Linked DNA regions of Arabidopsis thaliana. The protein of the gene in region 3 interacts with the protein of the main gene of each other region in a pairwise test. Each region holds a gene or a part of one and is shown on either strand. Other genes may lie near its edges.

Region 1 (5,331 bases), about 16 Mb from region 3:
TTGAACTATGATAGCATATTCAGTTTTGAGGATTTATAATAATTCAAACAAATTGGTAGTGACTGAATTGATCCATGTACTTATTTACTACTAAGTGAATGTTATCATTTCAAAACATTGAGTTTTCTTTTGGATTTTTTTTTTTCACATCTCTAGTCAGAGTTTAACCTAAAAGCCTTAAACAAATCTTACTCGAATATGTTAAGTTAACAATCATTGTTTCCAAAACGCCAAACTTCAAACCCCATAAACAAACAACTCATATTTGCTTCAAAAAGCATCATTGCAAAACATCCTCCGAGTAAGAGAATAAATACACCAATATATAAATGTGTATATATCTTCTATATAGACAATAATATGAAAGTAGGATATATTCTCCTCATACCTGGATGGCCAAATCACAAACTATGAATCAAATAGACACCACGGCAGGCACGCCTCCACATTCCACACACTAATTCTCAGTGTCACCTTCAATTTGCAATGTAACTACTTCAGTTTCACTACGACCCTCAATATTCATCATCATACATATTTGGTTTTGTGGGTCTTAATTGAATTTAGGGTTTGAAGAACAAATTCTAATATATGGAGCTCTAACTTAAACAAAAATGGCTTAATCTTAAAGACTAGCTCTTATGTGTAGTGCCTAATCGAAGTATGAATCTTGGATTGTAATGGGATGACCAAATATATAAACATGTTCTTATTCATCTTCAAAATATATAGTTCAAAAGGTTACAATAATACCACTTAAAAGTTGTAGCTAAAATATTACACAAACTGAATCTTAAAATGACAATTTTGATCAAGGCACAGAAGATCAATAAAGATACGTTAAAAAGGAACAGATATACATAACTATAGATTTTGTATACATTCAGAGGAATAAGGGACTATATTGGCTTACATGTTTAAACTTGATCATGCATAGTCCTTCAAAACTGTCGAGATTTATAGGAAACCTGCCAGAAACAATCAAGAGAAAGAAAACATATCATAGAATGCAAACATATATATGAACAATAATTTAGTTTACAAAAGAGTCTTGAATCCAAACTTTACCTTTGGGGAAATTTTTGTCGGTGACTACATATAAGGTTTGGTCATGAAAAGGGTTTTGATCATAACTATAATCCAAATTTTGAGGCAGAAATGTATTATAGTTGCTGCTAGAACTCTGATCTACCAACATAAGTATCCCATTATTTTGATTGTAACTTTGACCCATCTTCGTTGGTAGAGTCATATTGGTTAAGATAGATTCTTGATTATCAAACTCCTCGATTGGTTCCTTGTAGAAAAGGTGTGTCATATCTTCTCCTTCATTGAAGACTATAGACCTCTTGAATGGGTCCATGATTTCAGATTGTGTAATATCAGAGGCAGTCTCTGGATTATCATAGGCCATCATCTCTTTTGTTCGCTCCTTTGCTTTTCCTCTAGCTTTGGCTCCTAGCCCCTTTGATGAGATGTTTCTCAACTCACTCTTCTTCTTTCTTATCCCTGCCTTCGTGGCCTCACATACCACTTCTTCTTCACCGTACCCGGGGCTCAAACCATACACGAAGCTCTTATCGCCATTGTCATCCTCCTCCTTCTCCTCTTCTTGTTCTACATCGCCTCCAATGTTTCCAAAATCTTCATCATCATTGTTGAGGTTTTTTGCTTGTACGACCTCTTTGATGGCTTTTCTTGACTTCTTGAGCAGCCAGTCTAACGTTTTACTAGCTTTATCAAACCCCAACATATCCTGAAGATCAAAGAATTGGCGAGCAATCCCAATAGAAAGCCTAACCCTCCTGTCTCTAATCCCTTGTGCCGTTTGAATCTTGCTATGTCGGTCCTTCTTCACCACCTTCTTGATTTCCTTTGACACCTCAGGAAACTCAAAGCCTTGTTGATTCACAACATTATTTGACTTAAACGCCATGTAATCGATCAGAGATTCAGGAACTGCTGATACCATATGGCCCGGAGATGCTTTTAACTGATGGTTGTAGGGATTATGAATGATGTCTTGATGGCCAGAGAGTGAAGAAAGGTAAAGAGAGAGAGGGTACACTCCATTGTTATTACCATCGTTGTAGTCATTGGTGGAAGACGACATCACCGAACTTAAGAAGCTAAAAAAAACCAAGAATCAAGAATCAAGAACCAAGAATCAAGTATTAAAAATATGCCTTTTTCTTAAGAAACAAAAGCACAACTTTCACATCATCAAAAAGAGAGAATCTGGCAGAGAGAGAGAGAGATAGTAAGCGTACAATTTCTCACACCAGCAAAAAAAGAAAGAAAAGAAAAAAACTATAGAGATATTAATGGTGTAAGAGATGTGTAACAAGAAAATGGTTAAGTGTACAGTGATGAAGACATGATTTTGTGTATGTAATTGAAGATCTGCTCGCAAAAAAGCAGATCTGTTCTTCTCCTCTCTCACTCAGTTACAGGTTAATTTTTCACTAGGGTTTACAACTTTTTTCTAGGGTTTTCAATTCCAGATCTAATATCTGGTTATGAACTTATATATTGGGGATTAACCTCAAACTCAACTATTTTTAGTATCTTCTTAACATTTTACTTTTACTACGTATACATATACAAGTAGGTAACGTACCTTTCGTATGAGTGCTCCACAAAAGCAACATCTAATTAACATGGCCCATATAGTCCAAAAATAATAATTCAACAATAGAAGACGACATATGAAGGATTTGTTTCCATTTCAATGATAAACATCACGCTTTTAAGAGTCAGTATTGAAGGCGATCGATGTTCTTGAATGTATAGTATTTCACTGTTTTTATTTTTTGTCGGATCTCAGACAAGATCTGCTTTGCTTTCGTTTTGGATATAAAAAAAAACTTCTATTCTTTTGTCCAGTGGTTTCTAGTTTTTCCTACATGCCATGGAAATGGAAATTTAGATTTTTTTTGGTGGGTGAATTAGTTTTGACCGGTTAACGAAACTATAGATATGGAATAAATGTGTAGTGTACATATAACAACGTAACATAAACATTATCCCTTTATTTAGGGTTTTTGTCAAAAGAGAAAAGAGGCTTTAATGTGACCTGAGTTGGTTTCCCGTACGATTGAAGATTGTGAAAAGATTTGTCGTTTTCAATTTTCTTTTGACGTCTCTAGCTAGTAGTCAAGGGTTGTTCTAATTTACAGTGGGCGCAAATGCAATATATGCATTCATGCACCCAACTGTTTATATACAAAACCATAGAAAATATAGTTTTTTTTTTTGTTATCACATAAAAATAGTATTTTATCATTTTAGTAATTTGAAATGTGTAACAATATAAATACGACGGTTTTAAAAGATATTTGAAATGAAAAAAAAAATAAGTTGAATCATGACAAAATAAAGGAAACTATATAATTATAACGGTTTCAAGCTTAACAATTTAGGGTTGAGTAGAATTTGGGGTTTTAGATTTTAGTTCTTGGATTTAGTGTTTAGTTTTTAGAGTTTGGAGTTTATAATTTAAAGTTTATAGTTTAGATTTTAGTTAGTATTGTTAATTTATACAAATCTACACTAGTTTCTACCCTAGTAAGTTTAAGGGACGAGTGATTTCTGTTTTGGGTACTTTGAGTTTATTGGAAAAAAAAATTTTCCCCAGGAGAGCTATTTTTTACAGATATTTATACCCTAGTATTTAAATAGGCTTTTAAATCGGTCAATCTATTAAACTCATGTTAGTATAATCGCATAACCGTTTAAGGATTTTAAATCGCAATTGACTCAATTAATTGAAGTTGTCTAATTGTGATGAATTTAATAGTTTAGGTGGAATTATGAGGTTTATGATATAGTTCATGGTGAATTGGGCAGAGTCTAAAAGTACACGGTGATACGAGTTGAACACCTATAATTCGTGTCGGTTTAAACATTTTATAGGCCTTAGGGCTAATTTTTAAAATAAGTCCCTAGCAATGTAAATTGTACAGTTATTTTTTTATATAGAAACCTTTATAAATTTTTTTATATGTTATGAGTATAGGAAAATAAATTTTATGAACTTTTTTTCTCAGAAATGTTTTTTTGGGCCCTTCTTACCCATATTTTTTTATTTTGCCTTCTACCTGTACTTTGTTTTTCTTGGATATTTTTTATCCATCAATATGAGGTACTTGAATTTGAAATATTTTTAGTGGTTATTTTACGATTTTGAGGAAAATATCTGAACTAGGATTGAAGCTAAAAGGAAGGGAATATGTTCGACTATCAAATCCGGGAAGCTTAGAAAATGTGTGAGGGAAACTGGTAAATTAAAACAAGCCATCTATCAACGTAAGTCTCTAAAAAATGAAACTCCAGCAGAAGTCGCTGAGCTTTTTTTTCTTTAATAAGAAGTAAATCGAAGATAGATTTGAAAAATACGAAGTGGCGAACAGCAAATTGAGGAATTGAGGAACATGTATTTAGGATATTAGGGTTTACAGAGTACATAAAGAAAAGGAAGGAAGATAGTGAAGTCGCCCAATTATTTCACTCAACAATGGTATAAATTTCGAACACTTGTTGTAGATGGAAGTTTTGGAGAATGAGCTTTTGGTTTTGGTCAGTGGTGGAGACTGGAGACAAGAGAGTCTTCAATGGAGAGAGGTTTTTTTTTTTTTTTTATTAAACAGGAAATGGTCATTTTTGAGTTATTTGATTCTAAAGTCTCTTCAAATTTCATGTTAGAATATGTGGGTTTGTTTATGTATTAAATAGATGTATCTAAAATCTCTTAAATTCTTCGTTTAATATGTGCTTTTTAGAGACATGGATGCATTCCACCCAAAATCTATAGATCATGGGCTACCACTTTAGTTTACATATTTATATTTTATATTTTCATTTTCAAAGCAATCATCTTAAGTCTTCTAATATTGGTAACAAATTTATATCCCCAAAATCTACATCTCGCTAGGATGCTAGAACATCGTTCATTTTCATCATCGAGTATCCAAACTAGTAAGAGAAAGTCCATTTATGTCGGTTGTCAACTAAGTAGAATCTCTTACAGATGGTTAGCGAACATGTAGCAATGATATATTTGGTATAATAATCCTGAGCCTCAAATACTACAGTATTTGGTCAAGAGATTGCTTAAAAATATTGAATACAAATTTTGATTATTGAGGTAACCTGGAACGTTAAGAAAGAGAGAGTGCTCTCTGTTAACCAAGGAAAATAAGCAATTCTGGAATTAGGCATATGTCAAATGGGCTGACCCTTATATTGACAGTCCAAAACTCAAAAAGCAATTGTTTATTTTAAATATATTTAGGCCTACTCCTAGTATAATTCAGCTTATACTTAGATCAT
Region 2 (7,195 bases), on a different chromosome or scaffold from region 3:
TCTACATACCCTATTTTTTTCCGAGCTACATTCCCCACTCCCAAATTTTACATTATTTTTATTTTGGTCAAAGACATTTATTTAAATTTTATTTTATTTTTAAAAGTGTCGACGAAAAAAACATGTATTTTTTTTTTTTAACATATTCATTTCCATTAATATTACGAAAAAAAAACATGTTTTTATACGTAGGCTGAGGCATCCAAATTGATCCACAAATTTGGTTTTTGTTTTCAATTAACTTGACCTTAAAGATAAAAGTTAAAAGTTAAAACATTCAGGTCCATCTTGTATTGTACAGAAATAGCATGCCTGGCCCATTAAAGGATAGTGGGCTTTTATAGTAACCTAGGGGAAATGAGATTTGAAGTTTTCAACGATCATCACATTCACGTATTTTGAAAGTTTTTTTCACGATATACACCAGAAATAGATATTTTGAAAGAGAAAGCTACTAAAAAACGGAAAACATTTTGCCTTTTATCACTCAAAAAAATAAAAAATTCATCAAATTTTTAATTATTTTATTGTTTTTATGTGTGATTCTAGATGTAAGAATTAAGAAACGAACCAATATTAATCGGATTCGTTATCTTTGAATATTTTTGCGTTAAGCACGTCGTACTAGCTAGCGAATACGTTTACCGCAACTGTAATCTAATTCGTCACAGAATATCAATGATGTGGTATAATCAACTATAATCTTCTTTTTTCTTTGGGCAAAATCAACTATAATCTATGAATATATACTTACTAATATAGGTGATAGACATATATTATTTAAAATAATCTAAGAAAACATGCAAATACGGTTACATCGACCGGTTAGAAAGGGAAAAAACTTTAAAATTAGTACTTTCGTATCATATTCAAGTCAGTATATATTAGGATTTTGCCACATTACATATATTATTAAAGATTGTTAATAATTAGGATTAAAAAGACTAGTATGAGAGTTAAGTCAAGTTTAAATTTGTTTTTCTCATTGAGAAAAAGGGAACTGATTTCTTACAACATACAACTGTTCATGCTGGTCATATCTGACAAAATCACGGGAACAACTGCTCTTACCAAATATTGCACGTCCTATGCTTTTTTTTTTTGTCAAACCCTAATTAGTCTTATATTTACAAAGACAAAAAACTAGCTAACATCTTTTATCTTTATATATTTCTATCTCAAAATTAGTTGTTGAATTCTTAAGAGTTAGTGGATTGTTTATCTATAAAGTCGCACTAACAGGTAACTAAAATTAAACATCTTGGATCTAATGCATGTAAATGACAATGCAAAATGAATTCTAATAAGTGATGAATAAACAACAAAAAATATCAACATTCAATTTGAAATTTTGAAATGGAATGAAGACCAAATTAAATATCACTAGGTTGGATTTACGGTTACTATTGTTATGGTTTAGTTAGTGTTTGGTTTTAGTCTGGTTTCGGTTAGGGCTCGTACATGAAAATCTAATCCAATAAGTTTATTTCTTCTTTGGTTTGTTTGAGAACTTTTGATACGGATTGCACTCCTTAGTCATTTTGTATTCATATATTACAGTGAATTTTTTTTTTTTAACTACGTTGAATCTAGCTTAAAGAAATTAACTTTAACACAAGAAAAAAAAAACTACTTAATTGACTATATATGTTGAGAATCAGTTCCATTACATAAACTCGCAGTAATCAATCATTGTCTATCGCCATAACAATATATAAGGAGTATGAAAATATGGCAAAGCAGCATTAATAATTATTGTCATGGATAATAATCATGATCTAATTAAATTACTTAAAAGGAATATTAGTATAGTGATCTCTGTTTCCATCTGGTACTATTGGATTCCACATATCCCACAAAGCATTGTTTGGAATCGTTCCTGCAGGAATCATGTTCATAGCTAACGCCGCTTGAGTTTGAGGCATTAGCGTTGTCGCTGTAGTCGCCGCAGCCACCAATTGTAATGCGTTTGCGTTAGCATTTTGTTGTTGAGTATGATGAAACTGTTGAGCAATTTGAAAGTATTGGTGATTGATGTTACCTCCATCTGATATTTGGTAGTTAACTAGTCTTTGAAGATCGTCAACAATGGCAGTTTCATCATCGTCTTGATGATTTCTCGTAGAGACTATCAATGTGTTGTTGCTTGTGTCGTAAGGCATTGGACGATATATGTTTTGATTGGCTAGAGCAATGGTAACGTCAGAGTTACTGTTTGTGGTCGTTGTTGTTGTGCTGCCGTCGCCGGAATATTCGGTGGAGAGCTTCTCGAGATTGTTGATGTTGTTGTTGTTGTTAAGGTTGTTGTCGGAATGATTAGAGGAGGATGAATGGTGTTGTTGTTGTCTTAAGGCTAAACGGGATGATGTCGATGAGTTATGGTTATGATGTCTTGTGGAGAGAGAACGTGGTACCGATGGATGATCTTCTACTCCTGGCCTTTTGTACACTCGGCACAATGATATTTCAGCCTATAATTATACATGAGCACATTGATTAGAGACTTGATACATATATCAAATTATCAAATATAGACTAACAATATCTATGAAAAATATCATTTATCGAAGATATGGTTTTGAAAGAAGATTCACAAACTATGTAAAGTTAGCATTAGCAAAAAAAGATAGCACGTTTAGAAGAAATTTAGAGTACTATCATATGACGTAACAATGCAAATATAATTAAGATGATTATATTTATTATTTTTTATATATTTAATTGCGTAATTTTAGTTTTATTAGTACAAGTGAATGTGCAATACATACACATAGATAATTATGTCAACCCTGTTGTTTTAGCTGTCTTATGCATACATCATAATATCATATATATACATAGAAAATTTTATAAATTTATGGTTTCAAATGGTGACGACATATAAGTCGAAAGAGCCCAAAAAATGTATTTATCTATCCATTGTCATTTTCCGTATACATAATATTTTTTCGGTCTACTCCATAAACCGTTATCATTCGTATAGATTTTAAATGTTCGCATATAAATATGTTGGTATAATTCATATATGCCAAATTATTTCAAAAAATGTTGGGTAACTTAAATAGAAGACATGAATTAATGTGAGGAAGAGCAGGAACATTCATGTCATAAATTGTAAGAAAAACTAACTATGTCTCTGCAGAATTAAGGTATATGAATGTCGAGTGTGATACTTGTGTGTTTATATATATGTGTATGCATCTATCTATTAATGTATTCTACTATAACATATGGGCCATGTCTAGCAATTTAAAGAGTTCACGCATATGACATGAACATTTTTCTGGATTTAAGCGCAAACGCCGCCTGACATTTAGTCCATTCACAAGTATTTTTGATCTTATCGAATCAATTCCAAAATAAATAAATAAAACTAGTCAAAAAAGAAAAAATTCAAACTGTCTAGGGATTAATTTCAATTTTAAAGGCCTCACCACCTAGCTAGGGTTATATCTATGTATGTATGAATAGGATATATATAGAGTTATAGTAGAATTTATACCTTTTGGTACTTCTCGGTTTCATGGTGCGGAAGACGATACTCGTTCATGATCCAACTAGTACGAGTGCCTTTAGGGGCTTTACCAGAGTAGAAAACTAGGGTTTTCTTTAATCCGATAGGCCGAGAAGTCTCCGATCTGATCATCCTATCAGCTCCGGTGGCTTTCCAATATCCTGAAGTCGTTACTCGGTTCGGTCTATCTCCATTTCTATATTTCCGATCTCTTGGCACATAGAAGTACCACTCTTTCTCTCCTATCGCCGCCATAGCTGCATATACATATATCTATGATTAAACATACATAAGCTAATTATGAAAACATACACATATTTGTATATCTTATGATATATATGTAGGTTGTTTAATTAGGTTAATTTAAGAAAGAAACTAAAGAGGGAGAAGCGTTTAAAGATATTGAGAATTGTTAACGATCGACATAGTAATACTTCATAAGGAGGTAGGTACATATATAGGTTAAAAAAAAAGAAATAGAGAGAGAAAGTGATAAGAGAGAAGAAAGATCTTAACATATGAATAGAAATTAAGATTTCCAAATAGTTTGAGATGATTTATGTGTGTTTATGTGAATGTATATTTACCAGGAAGTTCCCAAGGATCATAGCGATAAAGATCGAGGAAAGTGATGAGTTCTACATTAAAGCGTTTGCCTTCAACTTTTCGGCGAAGGTAAAACTCTATGAGTTCTTCTTCGGTAGGATGGAATCTAAATCCGGGCATGACCATGTCATGATCATGATCATCAGCTTCATCTTCATTTTGGACATGACTCTCTTGGCCGCCTCTATGATCATTGTCTTCTATACCTTTTTCGTTATTGTTGACTTGGTTACTCATGGGAATGATGCTTGTTGTGGAGGATACAATTGCCATATATCAAAAAGACTAGATATGTGTATGCATGTGGATTAAGGTGATATATGATGATGAAAAGTGATTAAGGGTTTGCTTGGTTTTTATACTAACAATGGAAGGGAAAAAGAGAGATGAAATTGAGTGGTGTTGAGTAGAGATAAGAGGAGGAGAAGAAGAAGAGAGGACGACTATATAGGAATGAAACGTCATCGTTTTTGGGAGTTGAGACCAAACTAGAATAAGACAAAGAGAGAGAAGAAGAGAGTTAAGGAGGAGACAAAGACTTGTCAAATTGAGGACAGGGTGTCCACGGTTTTGTTTTCTTAGCCGTGCCTTTGGACCTTTCTCTCACTCTCCATTTCTAGCTTTTTGTTTCAAAATAAAATAAAATATCTATCTATTAGTTTTATGTATTTTTTCTAAATACTAAAGTTTCAAATATTTAATAATTATTGGGTTGTAACACAAATGAAAAGAACAGTTGATATCTTTTACAGGAAAAATTAAAGTTTATGTATTATAAACGAAAAAATATTTTGAAACAATATTACGAATTGACATCTTTCAAATGGATGTCATGGACCTCATGGTTACTAGTTCAATTATACTTGGAAAAAATAATAATTAATGTTTTAAATGCAATATCAACAATTGGTGTGGACATACGAAAAATATAGACCGAAAGTCTAAAATTCCCAAAAACTATCATTCTTAGAAAAAATATATCATGGTTTTCTTTATAGTTTTATTTGCACATGCACCATCTCATGCACGTTAAAGATTCATTAGTTTTAGTTAGGTATATGATTGGTATTTTATAAAGACAATCTAAACTTTAGAGAATAACAAATTAAGTTGATTTCATGTATAATTTATGTGTAAATAGTCTATATTTTGTTTTGGTTTTTGTTCCAATCCATCGCTACAAAAATTGCGAAAGTGTAACTAATCTAATTCTCCTGATCAAGGCATAGCGATAAAGGATCCATAATAATTCATTGTTATAGGTAGACTAATTGAATAACGGATATTCTTAAAACAATGTTAAAAATTTGGATTATTATAGTTAATTTATTCATCGTTGAGACAAAGAATTCTGATTGGTGGCCTATATTACTAATTAAATAATAATATCACGTATGCTTACTATGTCACTCGTCATAAATATATTTACGTGTTTTTCATATGCTTCAGCTTCACGAACGTTCTCTTATTGTTTCGCTATTTTTTTTATGATATATTTGGCCCACCATATCTTCATTGCATGATACTACTATGTCTTCAATTATGAATGCAAAACAAACTGACCATGATTTTGCCAACGCTCTCCATGTTCCTATGACTTAGTAAGAAGCTGAACTTACAGTACATATGTTAGAATTTAGAAACCCGCCAGTTCTTTAAAATTTGTATTAATATATATAGATACAATATATTATATTTAGATATATGTATCTATAATCTATATGTATAATTGTTCCATTTTATTAATAATTCAAAAAAGTAAATAAGATATAGACACAAAACAATAAACATCGTAACAACATTAGCATATATATATATATATATAGCTGAGCTAAAAAGGCTAGGCAAACTGTAATATATTTAAGTTCATCATGGAAAGATAGATAAAATATATACTAAGTACAAATTTCATACTTACAAGTTTATATGGAAAAATGAATTTAAAGTATCAACGTAAATGAGATAATGAATGAAATTAAAGTGAGGTGGTAGTGGGGCTTCTACGAAACGAGAGTGGGGTTTTTAGAAACCTTACTCTACGTTGTAATGACTTCATATTTTATATTTTTATTTTGTCAAATGTTTCAATGGATGTCATGGACTTCATATTTTTTAGAAATCCGTGAATGCATATATCTCATTCACAACAAATTTCATTGGATTGAGCTCAGTGTAGACAGACATTTTTCAATATGGATGTCGCGTACCAAAAAAGCTTATGAAACGTGGAAAAGATAAACTATTCAACAACCATTAATTAGACCATTGCGATATCAGAAAATGAACTTTTTTGTGTTGTTAATTCGAATCTTCGTCAAGAAAATTATCTAGTTACATGATTTTTTTTGTTTTTATGTTTAAACAATTTATAATATATTTACTACGAACTAATCAAATAGTAAATCAGTAGACATACACATATTTCAAAAATTATTATACCAGTTTAGTTTACATAAATGTATAGCTTTTGGATATATATTTAAGGTTTTCATTAAAATGAATGTAGGTATGAAAGGAAATATTATGTATGACATGGAATCATAGGCATGGACCCTTCGAATATTGATATCAGTAAAAATATAAAATGGCGATAGAAATTAGGAATTAAATGTATTATAAGAGAGTTTAAAAGTAGATTAAGCTAGTGCATAATTTAATGCAAGCGAGTCTTCCATCGGTTTGGCTTTTAGCTAGGGGTAGCAAGTAGGGTGGCGGATATTATATAATGTACATTCCAGAAGATTAAATCATTTTTTCAGTTTAAAGTTTTTGCAATTGTAAAAAATTAAGACCTTTTAATTTTAATTCGAAAAGAACATATATTTCTATTATTATATATATGACATATTATTAACTTATATTTTGTCTTCTGATTATTACATTTTCACATGAGTTTGTCTTCGTTAAAGTTTTAATTATTATATACTATTGTACATATACAGCATAATAGCAACTCAGCAAGGGATTACTTTGAAAGTCTTAGAATCTTCAAGCTTACTATTTGGCTAAATATGCAATATATATACACGCCATTAGTTTGTGCTTTAGCAATTGATTTAACCAAGCTGTAAGAAG
Region 3 (5,713 bases):
AACTCAATGTTTACTTGCATTGACTACTAATTATTGAGGACATCTAAAATATCTAAGAAAAAAAACTCTTGTTAATCAATAAAAAAAGATCCCATATGTAAGTAATTTTATTTCTTTGCTTTTTTATTCTTAGTCTAAGATCACTAATCACATAACATATTACATATAGATGGATGCCACGTCAGAAAAGAGTCTATTTGAAAGCGAACTTTTCTTTCGAGTAAAACACAAACCTGACCAAACGTGTAACAAAATTAAACATTATCGTACAAGGGGACATTGTAACACATGAATAACTAAGGTTGATAAAATTTGTAGACGGACATAAAGAATTCCAAGAAAAGTGAATTAGGTGAAATTTAAATGGGCTATGGGGTCAAAGAATGGTCGAGAAAATAAAAATTAGATTATGTCAGACGAGTAAAATTGAGCTTTGGATTAATTCCAACGTTTTAGTGATTCCTTATTACACATTTGATGTATTTTTGTGACAAACTGACAAAAGTATATATTAATGCTATGTTGAAAAAGGTATGTTCAAGCTTGTAATCAATTTTGGACTGAGTCACGCATGGACCGTAGCTAATATATCCACCGAAACGGATTGACCATGAGATCGCAATCTATTTTATACCTCAGATAATTTTTGTCCCCTCACTATATGAGCTTTACATACATCTGTTTCCAGAGTAATTTAGTTGCTTATTCTGTTAGTCACTCCCTAAAACAAGCTACTACACTCGATCAAGCAGTAACATCAAACTCCTTTAATCTTCCAAGTTAGACTCTCTTCTTACTTTTCAAGGTATGTTTAAATATTTAACATGTTTATAAATAATTCCATGTGTAAATAGAACATATGTTTTTAATAACTTAGTATTTTAGACGAAAGAATCGAAAATCTAGTACTAGTCTACTGGATATAAACAAAGTAACAAGATAGATTCATAGCCCAAAACAAAAGAACAACCAAATCGAAGTCCCACTTTAGCTAGTGGCTCTACTTACAAACAAACATAATTAATAGTGTGTTTCACCATATTTTATTTCATCATTTCATTTTAAACGGTAAAAAAAAACTGATTACAATTTTTATAAATGTTTGTTCTGCAAAATATAAAATTAAATAAAGCTGCATAACTTTCTGTTTCATAAAATTATATAGTTCATATATACTTCTTCACCCAACCTTTTATTTCATATTTCATATATAATATTAATGTGTATTTCAAAGTGATTGACCAATTAAAAAGAAAATATGACGAAGAGAAAGAGAGTTTGTAGTGCGTTCGGTTAAATCTCTGTGCAGAGGATCGTACAGTTCTGAGACCCCTTTTGTATCTGTATTTATCCCATATTTAATGGTTACGTCTGCCAATTGGGATTTCTGGTCAAATACGAAAAGGTCTTAAAAGTTATTTCTTTACATTTTTACTGTTCATTCTCATTACTTATACACACTTCCACACGGCCACATTCCTCATGTATGTGGGATATTTAGGGTTGAGAGTTTTTTTGAATTGGCATTGTAATATCTCGTTATTAAAAACCATGAGACTGCTACAAAGAATAAAACAGTCAAAATTTCAAGATTATTTGATACAACATGACAAGGAGAAAATGAGTATATTGAAGCGATGTTTAATTAAGAAAAAAATTGAATGAAGAAAAAAGATTGTGGTTAATTTTTTAAGATAAGAGAGGGTTTCACAGAAACAAAAATGGTAGTAAAAAGTAAAGGAATGAAAGACAAGTGGAGATTAAGAGAGAAAGAGGTAAATTTTAAGGAACCCAAAATGAAATGAAAGAAAAAGCTGTCTGAGAATTGGTTGTGCTAAGAAGAGACCCGACTCATTCCCCAATGGTAAACTCTCTTTTTGCCTTCATCCTTTTTTGGTAGTTAGTTCTGCTTCAGCTTTTTTTCTTTCATCTCATTAGCTTTTATTATTTTCACCTTGCACCTATAAAACATGCATTGATTAATAGAGGATAAATTTCACCTAATAACGGTAAGATTCATTTCGGACTCGTCCAAGATATTCTCTACATTCATTGTTTTTTAGGTCGACACTCCCAACATTAATTTATTTTGTCATAATCCATTGGTTTTCATTAAATAAAAGAGGAAATACTATCTTATACATCAAACTAAGATAAACATTAATTATTCATAAAAGTAGGAAATTTGTATAAGGAACCATAGAGAAGCAGCGTAATTAATGTTATCGTTTGATTATGAACCCTAATACGACTATAAAACTATTGCATACTTTTCAATTACTATCAATCTATGGACATGGAAAAAAACTTGGTCTTCAAATCTTAGTTACTTTTAAATTTAATAAATGATTTATCAGAAAAACTCTTTAACTTCTATGAAACTAGGTACACCTGAACAAATGTATAACAGTCCACAGCAAAATCGAATATCGATAATACACATTTGTACTTACTTATTACAGTAGTGTATATGTAATATATATAATAATGTATAAATGCAAAGAACTCTGTCGTTTGAATTAGTCCGTGACGACGGTCCATAACCCTTTTTAACAGTCGTCAGAAAACACGGTCGCGACATGTACATACACGCACATACCTAAAGCCATACGTAACAAACACACCATTATATACAAAAGATATTCTATTATTTTTAAAAAATAATATTTATGACACACATTTACGTACGTGTATATATAATATGCAAATGCACTCACATAAGTCTTTCTCCTCCGATGGTATATGTCTATAAGCTGACGTGACATCTCTCTTAATTCTCAATAACACTTCTCTTCTTCTTCCTTTCTCCCAACACTAACTCCATGTTTATAACGGAAAAACAAGTGTGGATGGATGAGATCGTCGCAAGAAGAGCTTCTTCTTCTTGGGACTTCCCTTTCAACGACATTAATATTCATCAGCATCATCATCGTCACTGCAACACAAGTCATGAGTTTGAAATCTTGAAGAGTCCTCTTGGAGATGTAGCGGTTCACGAAGAAGAGAGTAATAATAATAACCCTAATTTCAGTAACAGCGAGAGTGGTAAGAAGGAGACAACAGATAGTGGTCAGTCTTGGTCCTCGTCGTCTTCAAAACCATCGGTCTTGGGGAGAGGACATTGGAGACCAGCTGAAGATGTTAAACTCAAAGAGCTTGTCTCCATTTACGGCCCACAAAACTGGAACCTCATAGCTGAAAAGCTTCAAGGAAGATCTGGTAAGTTAAATCAAAACCTTATTTATTTTCTATTTCTTTTGACAGCAAGTTAAATCAAAACCTTATAGATCTTCAAAATTTCATCAAAACCAGTTTGTTTGATTCATCTGGATCTGTCAAGTTCTTAAGATCCGGTGATAAAATCAATTTTTGTTTTTATTAGTTTTCTTGGTCTTTAGCCTTCTATGTCCAATCTAAGTCCTAACGTAATTTTTTTTGAGTTTTATTAACTTAATCTTGATTGTTTTTAAAGGGAAGAGCTGTAGACTACGATGGTTTAACCAATTGGACCCGAGGATAAACCGAAGAGCTTTCACAGAAGAAGAAGAGGAGAGGCTGATGCAAGCACATAGGCTTTATGGTAACAAATGGGCAATGATTGCGAGGCTTTTCCCTGGTAGAACTGATAATTCAGTGAAGAACCATTGGCATGTTGTCATGGCTCGTAAGTATAGAGAACACTCTTCTGCTTACCGTAGGAGAAAGCTTATGAGTAATAATCCACTTAAACCTCACCTCACCAATAATCATCATCCTAACCCTAACCCTAATTACCACTCTTTTATCTCCACTAATCATTACTTCGCTCAGCCTTTCCCCGAGTTTAATTTGACTCATCACCTGGTTAATAATGCCCCTATCACGAGTGACCATAACCAGCTTGTGTTGCCTTTCCATTGCTTTCAAGGTAGCCTATAGCTCTTCCTCCTCTTTCAATAGTTTTTTCAATTGTCTTTTGCATATTTTGAACTCTTTTTTGGTTTTTGTTATATCTACAACGTTCAGGTTATGAGAACAATGAACCTCCGATGGTTGTGAGTATGTTTGGCAACCAAATGATGGTCGGCGATAACGTTGGTGCCACGTCAGACGCGTTATGCAATATTCCGCACATTGACCCTAGTAACCAAGAGAAACCGGAGCCAAATGATGCAATGCATTGGATCGGAATGGACGCGGTAGATGAGGAGGTGTTCGAAAAGGCTAAGCAGCAACCACATTTTTTCGATTTTCTTGGCTTGGGGACGGCGTGAATGTTGAACAAATTGGTGTTAATCAGATAACGACAGTGGTTAAATTTGGTTACAAAAAAAATAGCATTTAGCTTTAGTAGCTAGAAAACAAACAAACCAGATCCTAGCCTTTGTCCTTGCGTTTACGTTAATTACTAAACTGTAGATTGTTGTTGTTGGCACTTGGTTGTCTAGTGTAACATTTGATAAGTCATTGTTTTTAGTAGTACTCGTTCAGAAATATTTAACAAAGAGAGATTGGTTTTAAAAAGTTGATTCTTTTATGATGAAGTGACGTGAAATATTGCTAAAGACGTGTTGAGAATAACAACGAGAGAGAGAGAGAGAGAAGGGAAATTAAAAAGAGTGGAGTTTCTAGGAGTTGGAGAAAGAGACGAAGATGCGTAATTAAGAGAAGAGGAACTGCCAAAATTGAGGCAGAGATTGTGCAACAGAAAGGCCAAACATGAAACATGCTCACCAAATCTCACACACACATTGCATTTGTTTCTTCTCTTCAAACCGTTTTTCCAACTCTTCAAGCTTCTTACCTATGTATCTCTCTCATGTCACGCGGACCCACACATGCCCTTCTTTCTTGTAATTCTTTCCATGTTGTAGATATAAAAGAAAAATTTAAATTGAATTGTTCTTTTGTATAGTTTTGGTTGGGTTAAAAAAAAAGGAAAAAAATTAGTTTTGGTTTTGAATATGAGTTTTTAAAATAATATATAACGTGGATAAATGTATGGGTTTTTCGGATTTTGAAAGGTTGTTGTAGAGAAGATTTTTAATTTACCCATTGGGTCTGAAATTGCTTCAATAGGCCCAATCTATTTCGGAGATGTTCTCGAGTCTCTCTTTTTGGGAACAAACATCCGAGTGAAGTCAATATTAAGTGATTTTCGAAAAGATAAAAACTATTCTAAAACTAATTAACATTTTTCCACTCATTTTAGTAATTCTCCCAAAGTAAAGTGCTTAAAGAGAGGGGGAAAAAAGTGCTTAAAGTGTTTTCTTCTTATTGTTTCCCTTTATACGCAAATGAAGAGACTTATTTTATTTTCAAAGAAAGAGACTTTTATGTTTCTCCTTTAGCTTTTAGTTTGTACCAATCAGATGGATTCTGTACCAAGGACTCCAAGTTAAGATTCTCTACTTTTTCTCCTTTACATGAAAATTCACACATATGTTTTTTTTCCAATTAATTTATACACTAGTACTACAAAATACAAATAATGGAGTAAACAATATTTTCGAACCACATTTACCAAAAAAGACATTACACTTCAGCATTTCCATCTGTTTGGATAATCTACAAAATGGGGATTGTGGTATATAAATAAGATAGATATTAAAAGTTAATTCATCACACAAAAAAAGGTATCTACAAAGTTTCTTTTCTCCTTTAACGTTATATGCTCTCTCTGAAGTTCATAGATCTTGCCATGGCTGCAGGGTTTGCTTGCAGGTTAAGATAC
Region 4 (5,415 bases), on a different chromosome or scaffold from region 3:
CTGAGAATTATTACTCTCTTTGGAATGACTAGTGTATCTGTTGCATTGTTTCTAATATTGGAATGAAGAGGAATTCTGTGCTTAAGCAGTGAGGTTGCTATATTCATAATGTTTAAGCTTTCGTGTTTGATCTTACTCTATTCGTTCCATTGATAAGAGATCCTTTTATGTCTTAAACCTGAGAAAGTCGTGAAGGTTCATTGTAGCTGCTGTTTATGCTTGTTGAATATCTGTGGATGTTATCTATACTTAGCAAATTTCTTCAGATTTTGATCAGTGCTGGCAGGTGAAACTTTCTGGTGGGAGTTTATGCATCGTGTGATATGTCTCTAGGTTATTCAGTTTTGTTGTTTTCTTTTCTCGACAGAAAGTTTGCGTTGGTCAGTTCGAAGGCGAATCTTAAAAATTTGTTCATACCATCATGATCTTTATTTATTGATCATGAGTTTCTAGTATTATTGAGATATTAGATGTGATCTCCATGAAAGGGGATATGATAGGTAAGCTTTTTTGCATTGTTACTTGCACAAAACATATCATTCTATTAGGGCCGTGACTTTCACTTACTATTTAAACTATCGAGCTAAAGGATAGCGAAAAAATGAACATGCTTCATTAATATACCAAAAAAAGCGAACAACTCGGTTGTACACTGACTCACTTTATTGCTGCATAATAAAAGACTGCACTCTCACTACCTATGTCTCTTTTCCAAAACGCTACACTAAATCCAAAACCATTTGTGTACTTCTGAATCTTGATCTACCTTAAATTGCTTTTACTCAATCTAAGCTTCCGTAGTAGTCCCAGATGGAAGGGAAGGATACATCATCCTCAAAATCATAGCTTCCGAAGTTGCTGGAGTCAAATTGCATAGTTGTGGTTTCACTTCTTGGCATCTCGATCAGGGTATCCCAGCTGAAATTCTCAGTTCTGAAAGGACTTCCAGTTTCTTCTTGCTCGTTCCATGGTGGAGGGGAATGACACTCTGCTACCTCACTTGGTTCTGCTTCATTTTCATCCTTCAAGATTCCTAGTTGCTGAAGAAACTCGGTCAGGTCGATCTCTGGTTTCTTCTGATCACCACCTTCGAACATATTGTCTGTTTCTCCCTTGCTGGTCTTCTCATCAAGAAAGCTAGTATTAGTTTTTGATTCGGTGGAGGAAGAACTAGAAGAATAGGATTGAGATAAAAGTCCAGTTTTCTTGAGTTCTTCTAGTCTTTGCTGGATTATGTGAACACTAGGCTGAGCATTCACGTTTAGCATACCACATGAAGGAAACATAGATATAAACTTCCTTGAAGGTACCCATTTGAACCTCTGAGAGTTACTCAGAGAAGGTCTTGTATTCCGCTGAAGATGAGGTAAGTTGAGGTATGCGTCGTGCCCATAGAGTTTCAAGGCAGCCTCATCATAAGCCATAGCTGCTTCTTCAGCTGTAGCGAAAGAGCCAAGCCAAAGTCTTGCCCTCTTCTTGGGCTCTCTGATCTCAGCCACCCATTTGCCCCAAGTCCTTTGCCTGACTCCACGGTACTGACAAAGAGCGTTTTGTGGACCGCCTTTACCCCGAGCAGGACCCTTCTTCCATTGTTTCATTGAGGATGATTTCTCCATTTGTGTTGTAGTGGAGAAGAAGATTGATAGTGAAGAAGGAAGAAGAGGATATGATAATGGAGCTTAGAAAGAGTATGTGAGTGCTTAAATAATGTCACGGTTCGCTTCAATTCCTAGAGAATTGCTTTTTTCACCCGCGCATGTGACCGTTGCTTTTCTCATATTCTGTTATTTTCAAAAGAAAAAAAAAAAAAAAAACTTTTAACCATTTTTGATCTCAACTTCATATTTATATAATTCTTCTACCTAGGCTCAAACTAGAATAATATAATCCCTAGTTCTTGGTGTCCCCTGCATTCCAAACAGTCGCAATGCCAACCTTATTAGTTATTACACCTTTTTGATGATAGCTTAAGAAGTTAGAACAATTGCACACACACATTTTTTTTTTTTTTGGATTATTATGTTCAAAAATTTCTGTTAATCATCAGGAACTCAAATGTTTTTTTTTTTGTTTTTCTTTGTTATGACTAGCTCTAATATTTTACTTGTACATGTTACCAAGATATCTAGCGAGACAAGGTTTTTTGGGTTCCTAGAATTATTTTTCTTGAGGACACTTTAAAGCTTTAAAGCTTTTACGATATCTCATCTTTATCTTTTTGTTGTTTCCTTCTTTCGTCGGAGAATCGGAGAGCCATGCATGAGAAAAAGAGAGGCAAGAGTCACGAGTCGTCGCAGCACACAAGAATCACATGTTCGATCGTGAGAGTGAAGTGACGTGTTTTCTTCATTCTCGAGATTTTCAGATTTAAGCGCCGCTCCCTTCACCATTATCCCATGCTTCTTCCTTCCTCTCTTACCATCACATTTAACTCACCACATTGTTCCCTAATCCCATTTATTTTAATAGTATATGACTTGTACATAATTCTACACAAATCCCAAAAAATAAAGAAAAAGTAATAACTGAACCCATTTTCTTCTGTTTCACTAAAGCAAAAACACAAACTGATTATATTTCTATTTCGTTTTTATTGATTGTTTAATCCAAAAAAAGGAGTGCTAAGCCTAATAAATTTATCTCTGTATTGACACATTTGTCACCAGATACTAAGCTTTTGCTTTAGCCATTAAACAATTGTTCTTCATCCTAAATCAAAAAGCAAGCTCTACCTCTACTGTCTTTTTTTTTTGTTGCTAATAGTAGCTAGAGATTCCATAACCAGTTACCAAAACATATTTGGTCTTTACATTTTACATGATATTTAGAATCCCTGTGAAAACTAATCCTTCATTCGCTACCACATATCTAACATACCGATTGGCACGTGAGAGAACAAACCAAAAGTCCCAATTATCGCAATGAATAAATGGGCTTAGCTCATTCACAACTATGCTAAAGCCCAAAGGCCCATACAATCCCAATCTTGTTGCGTCGTATTAAACCTTCTCCTTCTCCGACGAAACAATCACACACTCCGGCGGCAATAAACGCTTCTTCATGGAACCAATCCCAAATGATCTCATTCTCGAGATCTTCTCGAGATTGCCGGCGAAGTCAGTCATTGGATTTCGTACCTTGTCGAAGCACTGGGCGTCTATGCTTCGCAGTCCAGTTTTCACCGAGCTCTTCCTGACCAGATCCTCGAATCGTCCACGTCTGCTGTTTGCTGCCGAACGAAATGGTGAGTGGCTCTTCTTCTCGTCGCCGCAGCCACAGAATCGATATGAGAAGTCTTCTCATTTGGATTATCATACAAAATTCTCAGGAGACGTAAGCCGATTCATTTGTAGCTATGTCTCAGGTTTGCTCTGTTTCCCTGATTTGTGGCTCTCAAAAGATGCATCGCCTGTGATTTGTAACCCTACCACAGGAATGTATGAGAGCTTACCTGATCTGATGAGGTACAAAAATGCTCGAGGCTTTCTAGGGTTTGATCCCATTGGTAAGCAATTCAAGGTATTGTCTGAGGCTTATCCATTTTCTGATCAAAGGGAACATCATGAGATTCTGACATTAGGAACTGAGGAACTGAGCTGGAGGAGTAATATCATTAGTTGTCCTGCATATGATCGTTCTTTGAGTGAAGGAATATGTATCAATGGAGTTTTGTATTACTTAGCTCAGACTCTTGGTGTACCGTCTTGTGTGATCATTTGCTTTGATGTAAGGTCTGAGGAATTTAAGTATTTTGACGCAGGATGCTTTAATGATCAACTTGATGATACTAGTGGGTTGATTTTGGTAAACTATGAGGGTAAATTAAGTGGGATTAATTGGAAGTATGGTCAAGCTGGTGAAAGGCGCACCGTTGAGTTGCGTATGTGGGTTCTAGAGGATGCCGAGAAGCATGAATGGGTTAAATATGTGTACACTCTGCCGGAGAATGAAGTCCTTGATTCCTGCGACTTTTCAGTTGCTGGAGTGACTACTAGAGGTGATATTGTTTTGTGTATGAAATATACATGTAAACCGTTTTATGTGTTCTACTTCAATCCCGAGAGGAACACTCTCCAGAGCGTTGAAATCCAAGATTTTGGAGCTAACCTTGAAGCGGTTGAGAATTGTGGTAGAGTTTATGCTTTTGTTAACCATGTAGAGGATCTTCGGGTTAACAAAGGGAAGCAACTCAAGTCAAGCATCTCTCAAGTCAAGCATCTCTGCTCATGCTGTAACAAAGTATCGCAGCCTGATTATCATTACCAAAAGGCTTAAACCAAAGGGAGAGAAGAAATGAAAGAGACAGTAGGGAAGAAAAGAGACAAGGGATGAGGTAAAAAGCAGTAGGGCATGTCATATATGTGTTTATGTTCTTTAGTTATAGACGTTGGAAGATCTGTGAGTATGAATCAAATCTAGCTTTGGTAGTGTATTACAAATATTTTGAAGTGAATCGTATTGTAGCATTGTTGACCTTTTTTTGGTTAATCAATTTTTCCTATAGTTTAATGATATCTTCTACCCGAAATTAAAGTGCAATTTCTACTGTCTATTAAATTTCTGTACTCTGGTATCATTATTTTGTATTTTAAAAAGTAGCTGGAGATTCTATACCCAAACTTATTTGGTCTTTGCATTTCACATAATTTTATAGAATCTCTACGAAAAGTTAGGCCAATACCATCGTTTGCTTGCTAGCACACATACGGACTTCATTGGCACATGAGAGAACAAACCATAAATTACGACAATGAATAAATGAGCTCATTCACAATTACGCTAAAGCCCAAAGGCCCATCAAATTCACTGTCTATTTCTTTCGTTTTTTTTTTTTTTTTTCCCTAAAAGTTATCTTTCATTCATTCATGTCATTGTGTTCTTACAAAAAGTGTTTGAGTGGTCTAACCACTTACAAACCTTTGATTCAAACATAACAAGATGATCTTAGAAGTAAAACGAGAAACATGAAATAATAAACCTGAAACTTAACAAAGTTAAGGATATGTCAGAACCAAAAAAACATATCCAACTACTTGAAGCTGCTATCCTAGATTCCCTGTAGTCTTCAACAAAAATTGACAGAAGTCTTGTTAGAGTGGTTATCTCTTTTTGGGAGGTTTCAGACTCTCTCCCATTCTTGAAGCACTGTGTAGACGAGTTTGAAGTCTAGGATCCTCTGCTTCTCTTCTTACTTCCTGTCTTCTTGAGGATTGACCGACTTCAAAGACTCTGTTGTTATCATGATTAGGAGTGTCTGCTCTTGTTGGAGTGGTACTAGAACTCGATGACCATTGTTGTCTTGCAGTACTAGATTCTCCAACATGTAATGTATGAGTATCTCTAACTGATGCATAGTATGGATACGCAGCTCTCAATTCTTCAGGATTCAGTGGTGGATGAGCAATTCTAGGAGGC

The links.
Region 1: the proteins of MYB117 (region 3) and TCP1 interact in a two-hybrid assay, tested with the Arabidopsis thaliana proteins (one large-scale study listed by BioGRID).
Region 2: the proteins of MYB117 (region 3) and LOV1 interact in a two-hybrid assay, tested with the Arabidopsis thaliana proteins (one large-scale study listed by BioGRID).
Region 4: the proteins of MYB117 (region 3) and AT3G57600 interact in a two-hybrid assay, tested with the Arabidopsis thaliana proteins (one large-scale study listed by BioGRID).

What each region holds. Positions count from the first base shown.
Region 1 is NC_003070.9:25,167,195-25,172,525, forward strand, and holds TCP1 (TCP family transcription factor), read right to left. Parts: upstream 2,114-5,331; coding exon 1,034-2,113; downstream 1-1,033.
Region 2 is NC_003071.7:645,242-652,436, reverse strand, and holds LOV1 (NAC domain containing protein 35), read right to left. Parts: upstream 4,900-7,195; 5' UTR 4,433-4,899; coding exon of another isoform or gene 4,394-4,432; coding exon 4,102-4,393; intron 3,960-4,101; exon of another isoform or gene 3,772-3,959; coding exon 3,503-3,771; intron 2,472-3,502; coding exon 1,788-2,471; 3' UTR 1,617-1,787; downstream 1-1,616. Other genes in the region: AT2G02455 (uncharacterized protein), read left to right, coding at 4,220-4,432. UniProt on the Arabidopsis thaliana protein: Transcription factor that acts as a floral repressor. Controls flowering time by negatively regulating CONSTANS (CO) expression in a GIGANTEA (GI)-independent manner.
Region 3 is NC_003070.9:9,268,211-9,273,923, forward strand, and holds MYB117 (myb domain protein 117), read left to right. Parts: upstream 1-2,741; 5' UTR 2,742-2,822; coding exon 2,823-3,219; intron 3,220-3,472; coding exon 3,473-3,907; coding exon of another isoform or gene 3,908-3,918; intron 3,919-4,005; coding exon 4,006-4,253; 3' UTR 4,254-4,503; downstream 4,504-5,713. Other genes in the region: AT1G26790 (Dof-type zinc finger DNA-binding family protein), read right to left, coding at 5,647-5,713. UniProt on the Arabidopsis thaliana protein: Probable transcription factor that involved in boundary specification, meristem initiation and maintenance, and organ patterning.
Region 4 is NC_003074.8:21,329,042-21,334,456, reverse strand, and holds AT3G57600 (Integrase-type DNA-binding superfamily protein), read right to left. Parts: upstream 1,684-5,415; 5' UTR 1,617-1,683; coding exon 783-1,616; 3' UTR 539-782; downstream 1-538. Other genes in the region: AT3G57590 (F-box and associated interaction domains-containing protein), read left to right, coding at 3,061-4,275; AT3G57587 (Ta11-like non-LTR retrotransposon), read right to left, coding at 5,100-5,415. UniProt on the Arabidopsis thaliana protein: Transcriptional activator that binds specifically to the DNA sequence 5'-[AG]CCGAC-3'. Binding to the C-repeat/DRE element mediates high salinity-inducible transcription.